Sus scrofa: one gene and its partners. The protein of the gene in region 3 binds, or shares a complex with, the protein of the main gene of each other region. Links are inferred from orthologs where the notes say so. Each region holds a gene or a part of one and is shown on either strand. Other genes may lie near its edges.

Region 1 (4,270 bases), on a different chromosome or scaffold from region 3:
ACACAGGTTGCTATGGGAACTGCATCAGTCAGGTCCGAATTAGTAACTTCCGCTGGAAGGAGTGTCTGCCACTTTAATCTTCTTGTGATACTGCAGAAGCTTATCTCTCAGATGCATTAGGACATTTTTTTGTTTCTCTCAGCAGCACTGAAAACATCTGTTTCTAGACTTTGATGGATGTTAGCTGGAACACACACAGAATTTCACAGGAATCTCTTAGTCTAATTCTTTTGAAATGCTTAACAAGTCCCAAAGAATTAAACTAATTAGATCAGGACATCTTGGGCATTTCCCTTTGTTCAGAGTTGCAGAGATCCTTAAAATTCCAGGAGGGGGCGGGTTCCAAATAGAAATTCCGGGTGAAAACCAAATAAACTTACGGTGGGTTTACAAGTCACAGTTCCAATTAAGACTTTTCATCCACATATCCACAGTGTAGGCAACTGAACGAAATATTCAATAATGTTGGAAGTGTCCATCAAAAGAAAGCATCATTTATGTATGTGCTTGCTTTACTTAGTAAAGAAACAACTGCCTTTCGATTATGAGGTTAAACAGTTACTCTAACTGTTCTTTAGTTTCATTTCCTCCCAGGATGTACAGTTGTTTTTTTTTTTTTAACAGAGCGTGTGCTAAAAATCAAGTTTAAAGTAAGTTTGTCGTCCAAAATATTAAGAGAAGGAGAGGAAAGAAAAAGGGGGAGGGAGAGCGGAGAGAATGCAGCCCACTGGCAAAACAGACACCTGTTTCAGTATGAAGCAGTAGGGAGAAGGGAGAATGAAGAGTGCTTTCCACTTCTTCGTGTCCTTTCCTTGATGAATGGTCTGGAAATGTATAAAACAAGGGCATACACAGACCAAGGGGGCACGGTCCACACAATACCGAGCACAGCATGTCACTTGTTTTATATGTTAAACATCGGTGAATATCTTTTTGATGTTGACACAGGAGTTGGGATTATTGTTCGTGGTGCAAGTGGCCGTGGAATTGCCCGTTTTGAAGGGGGTCTGGGGGAAAGCGCTATGGTTCATACCCCCCTCTTCGATCACCATATACTCCGACTTACTCAGAGTGGAGTTACTCCTCGCTTTCCGGAGCTCCTCGGCTGAAGAGGAGAGGTGCTGGCAACTTCCCACGTGCATGTACTGGGCTTGCTCTTCCCCTTCCGTCTCCCGGTGATAGAAGTAATTGAAGTTGGAGACGATCACAGGGACTGGCAAAGCAATGGTCAAGACACCAGCGATGGCACAGAGTGACCCTACAATCTTGCCCCCTATGGTCACCGGGTGCATGTCACCGTAGCCTACCGTTGTCATGGTTACCACAGCCCACCAGAAGGCATCCGGGATACTGCTAAAACCTGAAGTGGGGTCGTCTGCCTCAGCAAAGTAGACCGCGCTGGAGAAAAGGATGACGCCGATGAAGAGGAAGAAGATGAGCAGCCCCAACTCCCGCATGGAAGCCTTCAGCGTCTGGCCCAGGATCTGCAGCCCCTTGGAGTGGCGCGAGAGCTTGAAGATGCGGAAGACCCGCACCAGCCGGATGACCCTCAGGATGGCCAGGGACATGGCTTGCTGTCCATTGCCCTGTCGCTCGGCCAGCTCGGTGCCCAGAGTGATGAAATACGGGATGATGGCCACGATGTCTATCAGGTTCATGATATTTCGCGAGAAGGTGGCTTTGCTGGGGCAGGCGAAGAACCGCACCAGCAGCTCAAAGGAGAACCAGATGATGCACAGGGTCTCCACCACGAAGAAGGGATCCGAGAAGCTGGAGTTCCCCGCGGGGGCCCCCGACGTGCTGTTGCTGCCCCCCTCAAACAGCTCCTGCGACGGCGAGGCGGTGTAGTACTTCTCGTCGCGGAACTCGGGCAGCGTCTCCAGGCAGAAGATGACGATGGAGATGAGGATGACGAGCACCGACACGATGGCGATGCCCCGGGCGGGTCCGGAGCTCTCCGGGTACTCGAAGAGCAGCCACACCTGGCGCTGGAAATCGCGGCGGGGCAGGGGCCGCTCCTCCTCCCGCAGGAAGCCCTCGTCCTCGCGGAACTTCTCCATGGCCTCCTCGCCCAGCTGGTAGAAGCGGATCTCCTCGGAGAAGATGTCGATGGGCACATTGACCGGCCGGCGGATGCGCCCCCCGGACTGATAGTAGTAGAGGATGGCGTCGAAGCTGGGCCGGTTGCGGTCGAAGAAGTACTCGTTGCGGAGCGGGTCGAAGTACCTCATGCGCCGCTTGGGGTCGCCCAGCAGCGTCTCCGGGAACTGGCAGAGGGTCTTGAGCTGCGTCTCGAAGCGCAGCCCGGAGATATTGATGACCACGCGCTCCCCGCAGCAGTCCTGCTCCCCGGCGGCCGGCAGCGCGGGCGGCAGCGGCTCGTAGCGGTCGCAGCCGCCGCCACCGCCGCAGCCGCCCTGAGGCGGGTCCCCGCCGCCGTCGGCGGCCTCAGGCTCCAGCAGGTGGTCCCCAGGCACCACCGTCATGTCGGGCGGCAGCTCGGGGCCCGCGGCGGGCTCGGCGTAGCCGGGGTTCACCAGCGTGTGGGCGTCGCCACCACCACCGCCGCCGCCGCCGCCGCCACCGCCGCGGCTCGCCGGGTGCTGCGGAGGGTGGGCGCGGTGGCGGGTTGAGGGCGGCGGCGGCGGCGAGCGCAGGAGGCTGAGGTGCTCGTCCATGCGGCGGGGAAGAGGCGGCGGCGCGGGACCAGCTCGCTCCTCCTCGCGCTCCCCGCCCCTTCGCCGCCTCCGCCCCTTGGCGAGCCCGCCGCCTGTTGCTGCGGCTGCAGCCGCCGCGAGGCTGGGTCTGAGTCTGGCGCGGGCCGGCGGGATGCTCCAAAGAGACGCCTCCTCAGCCCTCCCCGCCCTCCTCCTCCCTCCTCCTCCCTCCCTCCTCCCTCCTCCTCCCTCCCTCCTCCCTCCTCCTCCCTCCTCCTCTCCCCCGCGCCCTCCCCTCCGCCCTCTCCCCCCGCGGGCCGCGCTCCCGCCCCTCCGCGTCCCCTCCGGATTCCCGCCCACCGCACGGGCGCGCGCCCGGCTCCCAGGTAGCCGCTCGCCTCTGCCCCTCGCCGCCGCCCTCCCCGCCCCTCTGGGTCACCCTAGTGCCCCCATTTTGCATTTAAGGGTCCCCGCAGAGCCCGCACCCAGCCGAAGCGGCCCCGCCCCCCCGAGGCCGCGTCCGGGTCGCGAGCCTTCTCGATCGGCTCTGGGCTGCTTTGCAGCCCGCAGGCGCCGGCCTCCTCGCCCCGCACGCTCCACCTGGACCCGCCGCGGGAGCGGGGCTCCACAGGGCCCGGGTGGCCTAAGGCGGAGGCCTGCGAGGAGGGAGGACTTGGACGCGCTGTAGGACCGCAGCGCTTCTGACGGAAGGGGTGGCAAGCCAGGTGGGCGATCTGGGGAAAAGGCGAACCGGGTGCCAGCACCTTGTGCTCACTTGAGGGTGAAACACCGCCAGGATGGGAGGGCTGTAAATAATTGAACTCCTGTTTGGGTGAGAAGCCCAGCAGAATAATGTGGCTGCTGATGAGACTCGCACCCAGAGTCAGAAGAAGACGGTCATTAAAGACATTCAGAGACTTCGCTTCTACGGTGAATAGGTCTTACTACCTTTCATAGCTGAGGCTTCAGCCATTAGGAAGAATCAAGGACCAAGTTTCTGGTTAGATTAGTCGAGGGCAGCCCTGTCGGGGGGTGGGGGGAATAAGAGGAACATGAAAAAGGAAATTCACATCTTAAGTCTGTGATGGGACAGGAGCCAGACCGGTATTCTCTGATGTCCCAAGGCCGGCCTTGCCTCGTTGGAGAGAATTTGCCACTCTCTGGTTGTGAAACAGGGAGAACCCTCATTCTGCAGCTTGGAGCTCTTGCTTGATTTTGGCCTGGAGATAATGACTTACAGTTATCCCCTTTGAACAAAGTATTTCTTCAAAATGTTGCGGTCACTTTGAACATAATTTCTCTTTCCAGACGTTTTAGCAATGCCGTGTAGAGTCAACCCTAGGCTTAAAAAATGTGTTTTCCATTGTAGCATTCAAATCATTTTACAAAAGGGGGACTGTTGTATAGACAACTCCCTCACCAGTCATACTTTAGCTGACAATTTGACTTGAAGTGAGAGTGATTTGTGGCCACTGCTTCCACTCCCAACTCTCAGGTTCTCTAGGGCAGAGCCAGATCTTATCCAATTTATATTCCTAGCAATTCCCAACAAGCCTGATAAATAGTAGGAACTCAGTATACCCGTTTGTTGAATCAGATGCCCCAACAAGTGA
Region 2 (4,106 bases), on a different chromosome or scaffold from region 3:
GGGGGGGGCGCATCGCCAGGATGCCGTGTGCATCTCTCTCCTTGGGAAGGAAAGGTGACACTGATGTGGTGGGCTCTGTGTTTGCTATGAGGTGGCCTCAATGTGTCCTTCTGAAATCCTGGCTCCATAGGTGATTCCCGTCTTTGGAACCCCCTAAGCCGGTGATGAAGATTTGCATGAAAGCCATGGATAGATATTCTGCGTTCTAAATCAAAAATCAAAAGATCGAAAGTCACTTGCACGACTATTGCTCTCCATGCAGAACCAGATACACACTGTGGAAACACACTGACTACAATGCAGGCTGTTATGCAATATCTGCATTAGTTCCTTTGAGCTGTGAGCACGTTGATAGGGTTCAATCAGACATCAGTTAACATTTTGGTAATATTCACATAGTTTGTATTAGCCAAAGTACAGTTGGCTGTTTTCAAGTTTTCCTCCCTAAAGTCCTCGTTACTGTTGTTTACCCCCTCCTGGATCTCCATGTAATCGGACTTACTAATGGTAGAGGCACTTCGACTTTTCTTTAGGTCAGGGGAGGATGGGATCTTTGGACAGCTCGTCACTTGCAAATACTGGGCCTGCTCCTCTCCCTCTGTCTCCCGGTGGTAGAAGTAGTTGAAATTGGACACTATGACAGGGACCGGTAAGGCAATGGTTAACACACCCGCAATTGCACACAGGGACCCCACGATCTTTCCCCCAATGGTGGTTGGAACCATGTCTCCATAGCCTACAGTTGTCATGGAGACGACTGCCCACCAGAAGGCATCCGGGATGCTGGGGAACTGGGACTCGCGCTCATCGGCCTCTGCGAAATAGACAGCACTAGAGAAGAGGATGACCCCGATGAAGAGGAAGAATATCAGGAGGCCCAGTTCTCTCATGCTGGCTTTGAGGGTCTGCCCTAGAATCTGGAGACCCTTGGAGTGTCTGGACAACTTGAAAATCCGAAAGACTCTTACCAACCGGATGACACGGAGGATGGCCAGCGACATGGCCTGCTGGCCCTGCTGAGCATCCTCTGGCTTCTCAGCCAGCTCTGTCCCCAGGGTGATGAAGTAGGGGATGATGGCCACGATGTCGATGATGTTCATGATGTTGGTGAAGAAGCCAGCCTTGCTGGGACAGGCGAAGAACCTCACCAAGAACTCAAAGGAGAACCAGATGATGCAGAGGGTCTCCACAATGAAGAAAGGGTCGGTGAAGGACGTAGACGGCTGGTAGCCGACGGTGCTGTTGGAGTAGGTGTGGAAGGTCACTCCGCTGCCGTGCATGTCTTCGTTCTCGTCCCGGAATATGGGCAGCGTCTCCAGGCAGAAGCTGACGATGGAGATCAAGATGACCATGACAGACACGATAGCTATAATCCTGGCCGGCCCTGAGCTCTCTGGGTACTCGAAGAGAAGCCACACCTGTCTCTGGAACTCGTTCTCCGGCAGAGGACGCTCTTCCTCTTTGATGTAGCCTTCATCTTCCCGAAACATCTCCATCGCTTCCTCGCCCAGCTCATAAAACCGGATTTCTTCGGAGAATATATCTAAGGGCACATTCACGGGGCGCCTCAGCCGCCCCCCAGACTGGTAGTAGTACAAGATGGCATCGAAGCTCGGGCGGTTCCGATCGAAAAAGTACTCGTTCCGGAGGGGGTCAAAGTATCTCATCCGCTTCTTTGGGTCCCCCAGCAGGGTCTCGGGGAACTGGGCTAAGGTCTTTAGCTGGGTCTCAAACCGCAGTCCCGAGATGTTGATAACCACCCTCTCGCAGCACTCGTGGTCTGCCTCTGGGTCATAGGTGTCCTGCGGGTGCCCAGGGAGGGCGGCCGCCTCGTCCGCTGGGTCTCCGGTGGCCACGGTCATAATTGGAACCGAGAGAAGCGCCTCTCCCTACGCCTTCTAGCTGCCTGGCGGCAGGGAGCTCAGGGTGCTGCTTATGGCCCCAGGAAACACAGCAGCATCGGCCTGGGCTCCTGCAGGAGAGCCCCGAGGGCTCTCTGGGAGCCGAAGGGACAGCCCCGCTTGGCTGAAAGACAGAGGCGGTTAAGGACATAAGACCACTCAGCACTGGCAGCCGGACCTGGGTTGCCGCTTTTTCAGCCAAAAGTTCAAAGACGTCACCCCCACCCCCACCCCCACGACAAAAAAGCAAGCTTTCCTTTCCCCTTTCAACCTGGCTGTGGATCAGAGGGGAGCAGGGGGCAATCTCTCAAGAAAGCTCTGGAATGCCCTGCACTGGGGGCAGGTGGCTGGTACAGGTCCCGCTGCACTACACAGGCTTTGAGGAGCACTGATTTCTCCCACACTAGAGGCTGGAAGGGAGGCCACTCCCAGGCACTGAACTAACATCTTGCAGATACCTGCACCCTGGAAGGTACGCACCGTGGCGGGTCTTGGGCCTGGGTCTCCCTCACTACCCCCATCCCAATGGCTCTGCACATGGCTGTTATTAAGCAATAGATTGCTTTACCTGGCAAGGCAGGAATCTGCAGCTGTCTTCCTCGCAGGGCTGATCTGATGCTGTGGGAATCCTAGATACACAAACAGGCAGCCCGACTCCCCATCACGTCTTCTCACTTGAGCTAGAAATAGTGGTGAGTCATTCTGGGCAGGAGGGCAGGCTCCAGGTCCTGGAGGTGAGCTCCAGGGCTGGGCTGGGCTGGAGGGGCCGTGGAGTGCCTGGCCAGGGGCATGTAGGACTTGAGGACAGCCTAGCTTGGGTCTGAAGCCTTTGGAAGGAAGGAGGCAAGATGCAATGCTCAGCAAAAGCCGGAGTCCTCCTGGCTGTCCTCAGGAGGTGTGACGTTGCCTGGAAAAAACAGCAGCAAGGTGGAACCGGGGCTCTGGGGCAGCTGGTGCCAAGATTTAGGAGGGCTCTGGTGGCTTCGCTTCCATGCCCACCTTCCATTCTGGTGTCACACCTGAGAACTATCCTCAGCCTCCCAGCCTCCTCTGGGCAGGCTTCCATTAGTTAGAAGCATTTTCTCCCGGGAAAAGAGCCTTCAGACTTGGCTGGGCCCGGTTCCTCCAGGGGCCTCCCCTGGCTGAGCCAGATTCCCCCATTGGTCCTCTGGGCAAAGCCCTCCCACCCCCAGGTCAGGACACAGCATCTCGCAGCGGGGAGGGCTTGCTACACTGCAGCCTGACTTCAAGCTCTGACCTCTGCAGAGTCCTAGAGGAAGGACCACACACCCCATCCTTTGCCCCCCAACATCACTCCTTCGGGGCTCAGGGAGACCCCTCACACAGAAAGGTCAGCCTCCAAAAGCTGGCTGGCTTGGTCCCAGGACTTACTCTCCCTCGGGGATTCCTGGGGGGCAGGCCTCCCTCCGGGAGGGGTGGCATTTGAACCGGGCAGGCGCTCGACCACCGATTTCTCCCCAAGAGAGAATCCCTCCCGTCTCCTTGGGCCGGGAGCGCAGAAGCAAGGCTCAGTCCGCCTGGCTGTGAGGCGGCTTGGCAGCAGCGAGCGGAGGAGCCGGGAGGCTCCGGGCTTCCGGGCTGGCCCCCTGCCGGCCCAATCCTGCCGGCCCTAGGGCGGGGAGGGGTCCCGGCCCTCTCCCCATCGCCCCGGGCTCCGGCCGGGATTCCGCCGGGCGCGCTCCGCGCGGGTGGACCAGACCCACCAGCTGGCCGCGGCAGCGAGCGCCACCTTAACCCCCTCCTGCCCGGTCCGGTGGGCTCTCGCTGCGGCCCGAGCGCAGCCCAGCTCTTTTTGCCCCTGGTGTCCCGCCGAGGGACCACCGAGGTTCGAGTTCCTTCCAAAAACCCTGGAGCCTGAACTCTGGGGGCGGGGAGCAGGCTGCTGCCCCCGATCTCAGCGTCCTTCTAAGAGCTGGGGCTCCGCGGCAGCCCACGGCCCCAGGAAGCGGAGAAGCCCTTCTCGGCCGCAAAGCCGTTTTAATTCCGAGCTGGAGAGGAGAAGGCAGCCCGGCGGTCCCAAGTGATTCGGGTCCTACCAACCGGCGCTATTTACCAGACATGGTTATGCTGTCAGCTGCACTTCCCATCACCCGCCAGCTCCTCTCTGCGCCCTCCGCCCCGCGCCCCGCACTGCCCGGAGGGTCCCCGAGCCCTTTCCCCGTTCTCTCCTTGCGCTGGGCGCCA
Region 3 (3,509 bases):
GCCATGGAAACATCTCAAGCCATCCATAACCCATTTTTCAAAGACTCCTTAAGACCTATAACTATTTTGGGACATGGTTTTCAAGACCAGCTTCTTGGTTGGCAGCTCGCTTGTTTCTGTCGTCCCAGAAAACCCCTGCCACCCCCGACTCCGGAGCCAGGAAGCCCACTGCTTGCAAGCCGTCTTGGCAGCACCCTCTGTCCCCTCCCGGCGCCCGCCTGTATTTGCAGAATGTCCCCAGGCCGGGCCCCATGCTCCTGGCCGCCCCCTCCACCTGCGGTGTCCCCTTCTCTCGTGACAGAGACGGTGCGCGCCATGACCCACGTCATCAACCAGGGGATGGCCATGTATTGGGGCACGTCACGCTGGAGCTCCATGGAGATCATGGTACGCCGACCTCTTTGTGTGTGCGTCCACGGGCTGGGCTCCCGGGCCCCCCCTCTGAGCACGAAGACCCCCGGGGCTCTGGCAGACTCAGTGTCACGCAGATACCTGGGTACTTGGGGGAGCGTCAGGAAGGTGCCATGTGACAATGAGGTCTGCAGGCTTTGCAGACTGGAGCCTTGGCTTGAGTCCCAGCACTGCATGACTGATGGCTTCACCTCTCTGAGCTTCGGTTTCCCTGCCTGTAGAACAGGACTGCTGGGGCGACCCGCCCCGCAAGAGGCCGTTGTGAGGATTACCTGAGAGAACAGGTGTGATGCTCTTAGCTGAGGTCCTGGAGTTCAGCCAGCACTCAGCATGGTGCCAGGGCCAGCTGAGCTCTCACGATGTTCCCAGTGCCCTCGGACTTGAGGGCTTCGTGTGAACTAACTCCCATTTAATCCTCACAACGCTGTGTGAGGTGAGTGCTGCTTTCATCCTGTTTTCAGATGTGGACACTGAGGCACAGAGAGGTTAAGTACATGCCCAGGGTCACACAGCTCAGAGCCTGGGCTTCCCCCTCACCAGCACTTTCAAGAAAGCATCTCCTTTCCGTGTCATTTCCCTCCACGGGAGCCATCAGAAGCTGAGGGTGACAGATGTTTCATGACATTTCTGGGGTCTCTCAGAAGGGTCAGCAGGGTGGCTCCTCAGAGGCAGGCAAGGCAGCTGGTTGGTGGGGGGCAGGCAGGGGCCTGGGGACTGTGTCTTTCAGGCTGAGCCCCTCACCCCTGCCTCCAGGCTTTCTCCCAGCCTCAGCCCTTCCCATGGCCCACCTCCCAGAATTTCCCAAGTCCTGACATCCTGGGGAAGGGGTTTCTCCTCTAGTGAGCCCCGATTTCCGATTCATTTAAAAAATATATTAAGTAAGTTTTTCATTTCCAGTTAAATACCACTCTAGAAGGCCACAGGATCAATCAGCCTTTGGTGTTTGTGGCATTAATGATCAATTTGTCATTTTTCTGAAGCTGCCCAGGGCCAGCACAAAACACGCTAAGCTCAGCATCTTATCCCCACTCTACAGATGTGAAAGCTGAGTCTCAGACCAAAGGGGAAAGGGCCTCTTGGGCTGGCAGACGGGCTTCCGGGAGCCCACGCCCATCTGGTCTGCAGAGTGGAGGCCTTGAGCTCCAAGTCCCAGAACCAGGCTGAGGCCAGCCACTCCCTGCTCCTGACCGAGGGTTTTCTGCCACTGCCATCATCCTGGGTCCAGGCACTAGAGTGACAATCATGTTAAAACCGTGGACATTGGGCAGGCACTGTCCTGAGTGCTGCCAGCACCGCTGGCTCATTTGACCCTCTTGAACAGAAGGGGAACTGAGGCACGGAGGGGTGAGCCCCTTGCCCAAGACCACCTGGCCAATAAGTGCCAGAACCCAAGCCTCACTCCTGAGTTGTGCTTTCCCCCCAAATCCCTTTAGCCTTGGGGTCCCGCAATGCACCCACTTTTCACGCCTCACAGAGAGGGCAGCCTAACAGGCTCCCAGAACGGCTTGGGGATGGGGGCTGCCATCTCCTGGGGGTGCCTTTGTGTTTTCTCCCTGCTTTCAGGGAGGCCCCCCAGACCTGCTGACGGGCAGGGACCACTCTCCTTCTACAGGAGGCCTACTCCGTGGCCCGGCAGTTCAACCTGATCCCGCCCATCTGCGAGCAGGCCGAGTACCACATGTTCCAGCGCGAGAAGGTGGAGGTGCAGCTGCCAGAGCTCTTCCACAAAATAGGTGGGCTCCCCTGTCCGGCCCCGCCCTCGACCTCGCCCCGCCCCTCGCCCGGCTCTCCGCTTCCATTCGCCCCACCCATTTCCCCGGCCCTCCCCCTACCTCGCTCCACCCCTGCCCCTGCCCTGGCCCCACCCTCTCCCTCTCCTCAGCCCGTCCGGGTTCCCCTCTCCCCGGCCCTCCTTGGGGTCCCGGGCCTGACCTTGTCTTCCTTTCCTCTCCCAGGAGTGGGCGCCATGACCTGGTCCCCTCTGGCCTGCGGCATCGTTTCTGGAAAGTATGACAGTGGCATCCCGCCCTACTCGAGAGCCTCCTTGAAGGTGAAGGAGCAGCTGGGCCAGGGGAGGGCACAGGGAGGGACAGGCATTTCGAGGGTTGGGCCCTCTGGACAGATGCCCCGGTGCCGGGCAGGACTTGTGCGGGGGGTTGCAGGCATGAGAACTTAGAGGCCCAGCTGGCCTGACCCCCCCCCCCATATCTAGAAAGGCTGCCCACCTGTGGGACATCCCCCAGGGAAGAAGCCCCTCCCTCCCCAGGCCCCCTGGCCTCCACCCAGGTTCAGTGTGAACAGTCTGGGCTGGGTCCCCGAGGGCCATTTGAGATGCCTCCCCCAAGTGGTCAGTCCCACACTCTCTCTGGCCCATCCCAAGGCCTCTGGGCTGGGGGCTGCGGAGTTTCTTCACTGTCACTCAGAGGTCCCCATCCGGGACAAGACCGCCCCTCCCACCTCAGGCGCGGGGCCTCTGGATGACCTCCAGGTGGCAGGGTTTGGTGCCAAAGGAGCAGGCTGAGAAAGGCCAACCAGGCCAGGGCAGAGCCAGCACTGGCGCCCCCAGGCCCAGGTTCGAGGACAGGACAGCCCACCCCACCCGCTCCCCCCAACCACAGCAGGCCCCCCGGGGGCTCCCTGATCTGTGGACACACCTCCTGGGCTGCCAGGCCTCCTGGAGAAGGGAAGGTCGTCTTGTCCACCTCCTTGTCCTCGTCAGGGGCCCAGCCTCAGCTCCACCACAGGACCTGGTTAGGCCAGGGTCAGGGCATGCCATCTGGGCACAAATCATCCGCCATCTGCCCACAGAGGTCCCAGTGACCTGCCCTCACCTGCGGGCTGTGCTCTGTCCCCACCCCACAACCAGGGCTACCAGTGGCTGAAGGACAAGATCCTGAGTGAGGAGGGCCGGCGCCAGCAGGCCAAGCTGAAGGAGCTGCAGGCCATCGCCGAGCGCCTGGGCTGCACCCTCCCGCAGCTGGCCATAGGTAACAGGGCTGGGGACTGCTCCCCCAGGAGGACGTCAGGAGGCCTCGAGCACCTGGGCCACCCCCTCCCTCGGCCAGCCGTGGCTCCTGGGCTCCCGCATTCGTGGGGAG
Region 4 (3,963 bases), on a different chromosome or scaffold from region 3:
CTCATTTGCATCAAGAATGATGAATTCCTAGCTCAGCTCAGCAACTCTCTTCCAATTCCTTGGAGGTCCAGTCCTGTTCTAAAGACATCCTCCAGGGATGTTGAAAACTTCCTGATCTTACTATGCCCTCTTAATAAAACGTTGAATTGAGGAACCTGGGATCTCATCCAGTCTGTAAATCTCTTCTGTAAGGTGACCTCCCAATGCTGAATTGGGGGCAAGCGCACTCATGTGAAGCTAGGGAGATGACAGTTTTAGAAACATTTAAAAGAAGGAAGGGGGCAAAGGGAGGGACAGGAGCAGGGTTGGAAGCCCAATATTGCTGGGACATGTCAGAAAATATTTATCCCGTCTGGCCGCAGAGCGATTTTGGGTTAGAGCTATAGCAGCAGCATAGCCTGGGGAGCAGCAGCAACCAAAACAAGGGCCTTGACAGTATTTCAATGCAAAGCTTCTTATTTCTTTTCTTTCTTAGCTTCTTTTTTTCTTCAATAAAGCCGTAGGCTAGGAAGGCAAGGGAGCATGGAGTAAGTGGGATCCAGGAATATGTGTGTGGAAGGTGGGGAAAGGGCAGTCCTTCCTAGGGGAAGGAGGAGTTTTAGGTAACTCATTGTTTGTAAAAAGAAAAGCTGGGATATGGCTCCGAAGGAGTGGAGGGAACAAATACTTATTATTATTTTTTTCTGAAAGAAATGCGGGAGTCGCAATCTGGAGGAGGGACTTAGCTAGTTCTGTACCCAGGATTGTTGCGCTGCCTGGGCAACCCCGCAGAGGCCCCCGCTTCCCTCTAGCCACAATAGAGCGGGGAGGATGCAATCTTTGGCTTTGATTAAAGAGGTGGGTAGCGGAGGCGGGAGGCATCGCGGTCGCGGTGGTGCGAAGGGGTGGTCCAAGTGCAGCGGGGGAACCAATCGGCTGCGACTCTGGGTTCTTGCAGCCTCCTTGGAGACTCGGCAGCAGTCGAAGTACCGGAGCTGCTGGCTGGCTGCTCTCCTGCTGCAGGCGCCAAGGTGCAGCGCCTCTGCGGGCGCAGCTGGAGCCGCACTCGCCGTGCACCGCGCACGCCGCCCCCGGCTTTTGCTGCCCTGCGCCCGGGTGCAGACCCTTTCCCTAAGCAGTGGCAAGACTTGCAAGTGGCCCAGTGGAGGCATTAGGCCGGAAAAAGAGGCTTCGGGAGGAGTGACGTAGGTGGGAGGTGGGCATGCAACTTGCTTCTCAGATTCATGACACTTAGCCCCAAGTTGGCAGACACGTCCATGAGCCCACGGAGCTTTTGGTTTCCCACAAGCCGCATTCTCAGTATTTCAAAATAATCTGATGGCAAGAAAACTTCAACTCCTGTAGGTCAAAGAGGGACACATTTAACACCACCGCCTCGCAGTAGCGAGACAGAGAACAAACCCTGGCGATCCTCAACTGCAGAGCCCAACCCCATGTCCGCATCTCTCCGAGGCCAGCGGGGACAGACTGGGTCCGCTCTGCAGAGAACCCCCCCCCCCGCGGGAGGGGCAAGACAGCGCGCAGAGGAGCAGATTACTGTGGGACCGCACAAACGCAAGCCCATCCGAGGAGGAGTTGTGCCAGGAACACCACCGCCTGCATTGCGTCGGACCTGCCCATTTCCAATGTGAAATTCCCGGGGAAGGTCGCGGCCGAGGACCGTGTGTGTGCGGGGCTGTGGACCACAGGGGAAGGAGAACTGGTGGTCGGCTTTTCTGGCAGGAGAAGAAAAAAGCTGTGCTGGCAAGGGTGGGAACTGAATGACATCCTCCCTCTGCCAAGCCCCCCCTCCCCTCTGCTTTTCCATCTACCTCCTCGCTCCCGCCCTCCCCCGCCCTCCCCAACCCACGCCCGGGTGGGCCAATCGCTGCTCCGCATTCCGGGCGCTTTCTCAGGTTTCTGCTGATCTTGCAGCGCCCAGAAATGGACCGAGGGGACCCGCGCCGCACGCACCCTGCCCCACTCGGAGCTCGGAACAGCTCCCGGAGCGCCGCGTAGCCTCGGCGAGGTCTGCGTGGGGGTGCGGAAAGCGGAAGGGACACGCGAGCCATGTAGATCCAGGCTTTTGCTCGCTCGCCTCCTTCGGGATCGAATCAAGGGCTCCCGCTGTGTTGGGAGGGGGCGAGAGCGCTCCGTATCGTCATTTGCTTCAGAGCTCGAGAGAGGGTGGCATTTCGCTTCTCCGCCCCACAGCCTCCGGAACTCCCCGCACCCAAAAAAGAGCGGCGTCTCCAGGTTGCTGGCCGCGGGTGAGAATGGGAGTAGGGAATGGACATTTTCGCCGTACCTGCCCAATAAAGCGACTGGTCAGCTGAAGGAACCCAGGACGAGGAGCAAGGGCGGCGCGTTGGCCCCGGCGCCCCTCGGATGCTGCGGCGGCCGCGGCTCGCGCCCGGGTACCGCAAAGGCGACCTGCCGCATTCCCACTCGGGCTCTCCGCCGACTCTGCACCGCTCCTGCGCCAAGCCGGCCGGCCAGGTAGGGGGCTCCTCAGTTCGGGGCTGCAGCGGCGGGACTTGGGGTGACGGGTGGGGGAGGCCTGGGGTGCGGGGATGCTGCCTGGACCTGGAGCTCCCCCAGCGTCTCTCGGCGCTTTCCCGATCTCTAGTTTAACGAAGTTGTAAGCAGATCGGCTCTTGGGCAGTGAGGAAAGTGGGATGGACGAGCCCCAAACTTGGTTTTCGGGTGTCTGCGTGTATCTGTCTGCGTGTATGTGATCACCCTAGCAAAAGTCCCGTGCTTTCGAAACAAGCTAGAGGTCTGTGCTCTTCCGTGTCTGTGGGTCCGTCCCATGTGAACGCTTCTGATCTTCTGCCCCCGTATCACTTTCTATTTCTCTGCAGCATCCATCGATTGCCCTGGTGGGAGCTTAGAAGGCGGCAGGCGAAGAGGGCTAGGAGGGGGGAGAGCCGAGGAGAAGCAGAGGGGGTGGCAGGCGAGGGGATCTGCTGAGCTGGCTCTGCACCGGGTCCCAGGAGGGCTCGCGGAGGGGAGGGGAGGCCAGGGTGACCTCTCAGCGATGGCCCGGTCCGCTAGAACGGCTTTGCCTTAAGGCACTCGGAGCAGGACGAAACTCCCCCCCCGCCTCCACCGCCCACCCACCCCGGCGGAAAGCTGCTTCCCGGGCGTCAGGCAAGGGGGATTTCAAACGGAGGAACAGACAGGGTGGAGGGGACCATCTCAAGGAGCGGAGTGGCGGATCTCTCCACCTGCTGGCTCGGAAGCCCCGCCCCCTGAGCGCAGGGGAGCCGCGCACACCGGTGGGGGGGGCGCGCGGGTCCCCCCCACCCCGCCTCCCTCGCCCCTCCCCGCCCCAGGCCCGCCCCGGGTCTCCCGCCGCCGCCGCCGCCGCCGCTGCCGCCGCCCCCGGCTTCCACCATGACGGTGATGTCGGGAGAGAACGTGGACGAGGCTTCGGCCGCCCCAGGCCACCCCCAGGACGGCAGCTACCCGCGGCCGGCCGAGCACGACGACCACGAGTGCTGCGAGCGCGTGGTCATCAACATCTCCGGGCTGCGCTTCGAGACGCAGCTCAAGACGCTGGCGCAGTTCCCCAACACGCTGCTGGGCAACCCTAAGAAACGCATGCGCTACTTCGACCCCCTGAGGAACGAGTACTTCTTCGACCGCAACCGGCCCAGCTTCGACGCCATCCTCTACTACTACCAGTCCGGGGGCCGGCTGCGGAGGCCGGTCAACGTGCCGCTGGACATGTTCTCCGAGGAGATCAAGTTTTACGAACTGGGTGAGGAGGCCATGGAGAAGTTCCGGGAGGACGAGGGCTTCATCAAGGAGGAGGAGCGCCCCCTGCCCGAGAAGGAGTACCAGCGCCAGGTGTGGCTGCTCTTCGAGTACCCCGAGAGCTCGGGGCCCGCCCGGGTCATCGCCATCGTCTCGGTCATGGTCATCCTCATCTCCATCGTCATCTTTTGCCTGGAGACGCTGCCCGAGCTGAAGGACGAC

Evidence for each region. Proteins that work in one complex are often made in the same cells at the same time.
Region 1: the proteins of KCNAB2 (region 3) and KCNA3 are in contact, whole or in part, in a cryo-EM structure (PDB 7EJ2), measured with the Homo sapiens proteins. The link is inferred for Sus scrofa from reciprocal best matches to the Homo sapiens genes KCNAB2 and KCNA3. Residues at the interface, in NP_001186789.1 of Homo sapiens: Met196, Tyr199, Ser200, Arg203, Glu231, His234, Lys235, Ile236; in NP_002223.3 of Homo sapiens: Pro133, Met137, Phe140, Pro142, Leu143, Asn145, Tyr147.
Region 2: the proteins of KCNAB2 (region 3) and KCNA2 are in contact, whole or in part, in a crystal structure (PDB 5WIE), measured with the Rattus norvegicus proteins. The link is inferred for Sus scrofa from reciprocal best matches to the Homo sapiens genes KCNAB2 and KCNA2. Residues at the interface, in NP_059000.1 of Rattus norvegicus: Met193, Met196, Tyr199, Ser200, Arg203, Glu231, His234, Lys235, Ile236; in NP_037102.1 of Rattus norvegicus: Asp28, Glu33, Pro62, Met66, Phe69, Asp70, Pro71, Leu72, Arg73, Asn74, Tyr76.
Region 4: the proteins of KCNAB2 (region 3) and KCNA1 are in contact, whole or in part, in a crystal structure (PDB 1EXB), measured with the Rattus norvegicus proteins. The link is inferred for Sus scrofa from reciprocal best matches to the Homo sapiens genes KCNAB2 and KCNA1. Residues at the interface, in NP_059000.1 of Rattus norvegicus: Met196, Tyr199, Ser200, Arg203, Glu231, Lys235, Ile236; in NP_775118.1 of Rattus norvegicus: Glu37, Met70, Phe73, Asp74, Pro75, Leu76, Asn78, Tyr80.

The regions. Positions count from the first base shown.
Region 1 is NC_010446.5:109,493,758-109,498,027, reverse strand, and holds the start of KCNA3 (potassium voltage-gated channel subfamily A member 3), read right to left. Parts: upstream 2,809-4,270; 5' UTR 2,679-2,808; coding exon 912-2,678; 3' UTR 1-911.
Region 2 is NC_010446.5:109,556,675-109,560,780, reverse strand, and holds the start of KCNA2 (potassium voltage-gated channel subfamily A member 2), read right to left. Parts: upstream 2,809-4,106; 5' UTR 2,470-2,808; intron 2,026-2,469; 5' UTR 1,863-2,025; coding exon 363-1,862; 3' UTR 1-362. UniProt on the Homo sapiens protein: Voltage-gated potassium channel that mediates transmembrane potassium transport in excitable membranes, primarily in the brain and the central nervous system, but also in the cardiovascular system.
Region 3 is NC_010448.4:67,008,375-67,011,883, forward strand, and holds part of KCNAB2 (voltage-gated potassium channel subunit beta-2), read left to right. Parts: intron 1-301; coding exon 302-387; intron 388-2,023; coding exon 2,024-2,144; intron 2,145-2,366; coding exon 2,367-2,461; intron 2,462-3,277; coding exon 3,278-3,398; intron 3,399-3,509.
Region 4 is NC_010447.5:65,563,073-65,567,035, reverse strand, and holds the start of KCNA1 (potassium voltage-gated channel subfamily A member 1), read left to right. Parts: upstream 1-1,155; 5' UTR 1,156-2,478; intron 2,479-2,843; 5' UTR 2,844-3,378; coding exon 3,379-3,963. UniProt on the Homo sapiens protein: Voltage-gated potassium channel that mediates transmembrane potassium transport in excitable membranes, primarily in the brain and the central nervous system, but also in the kidney.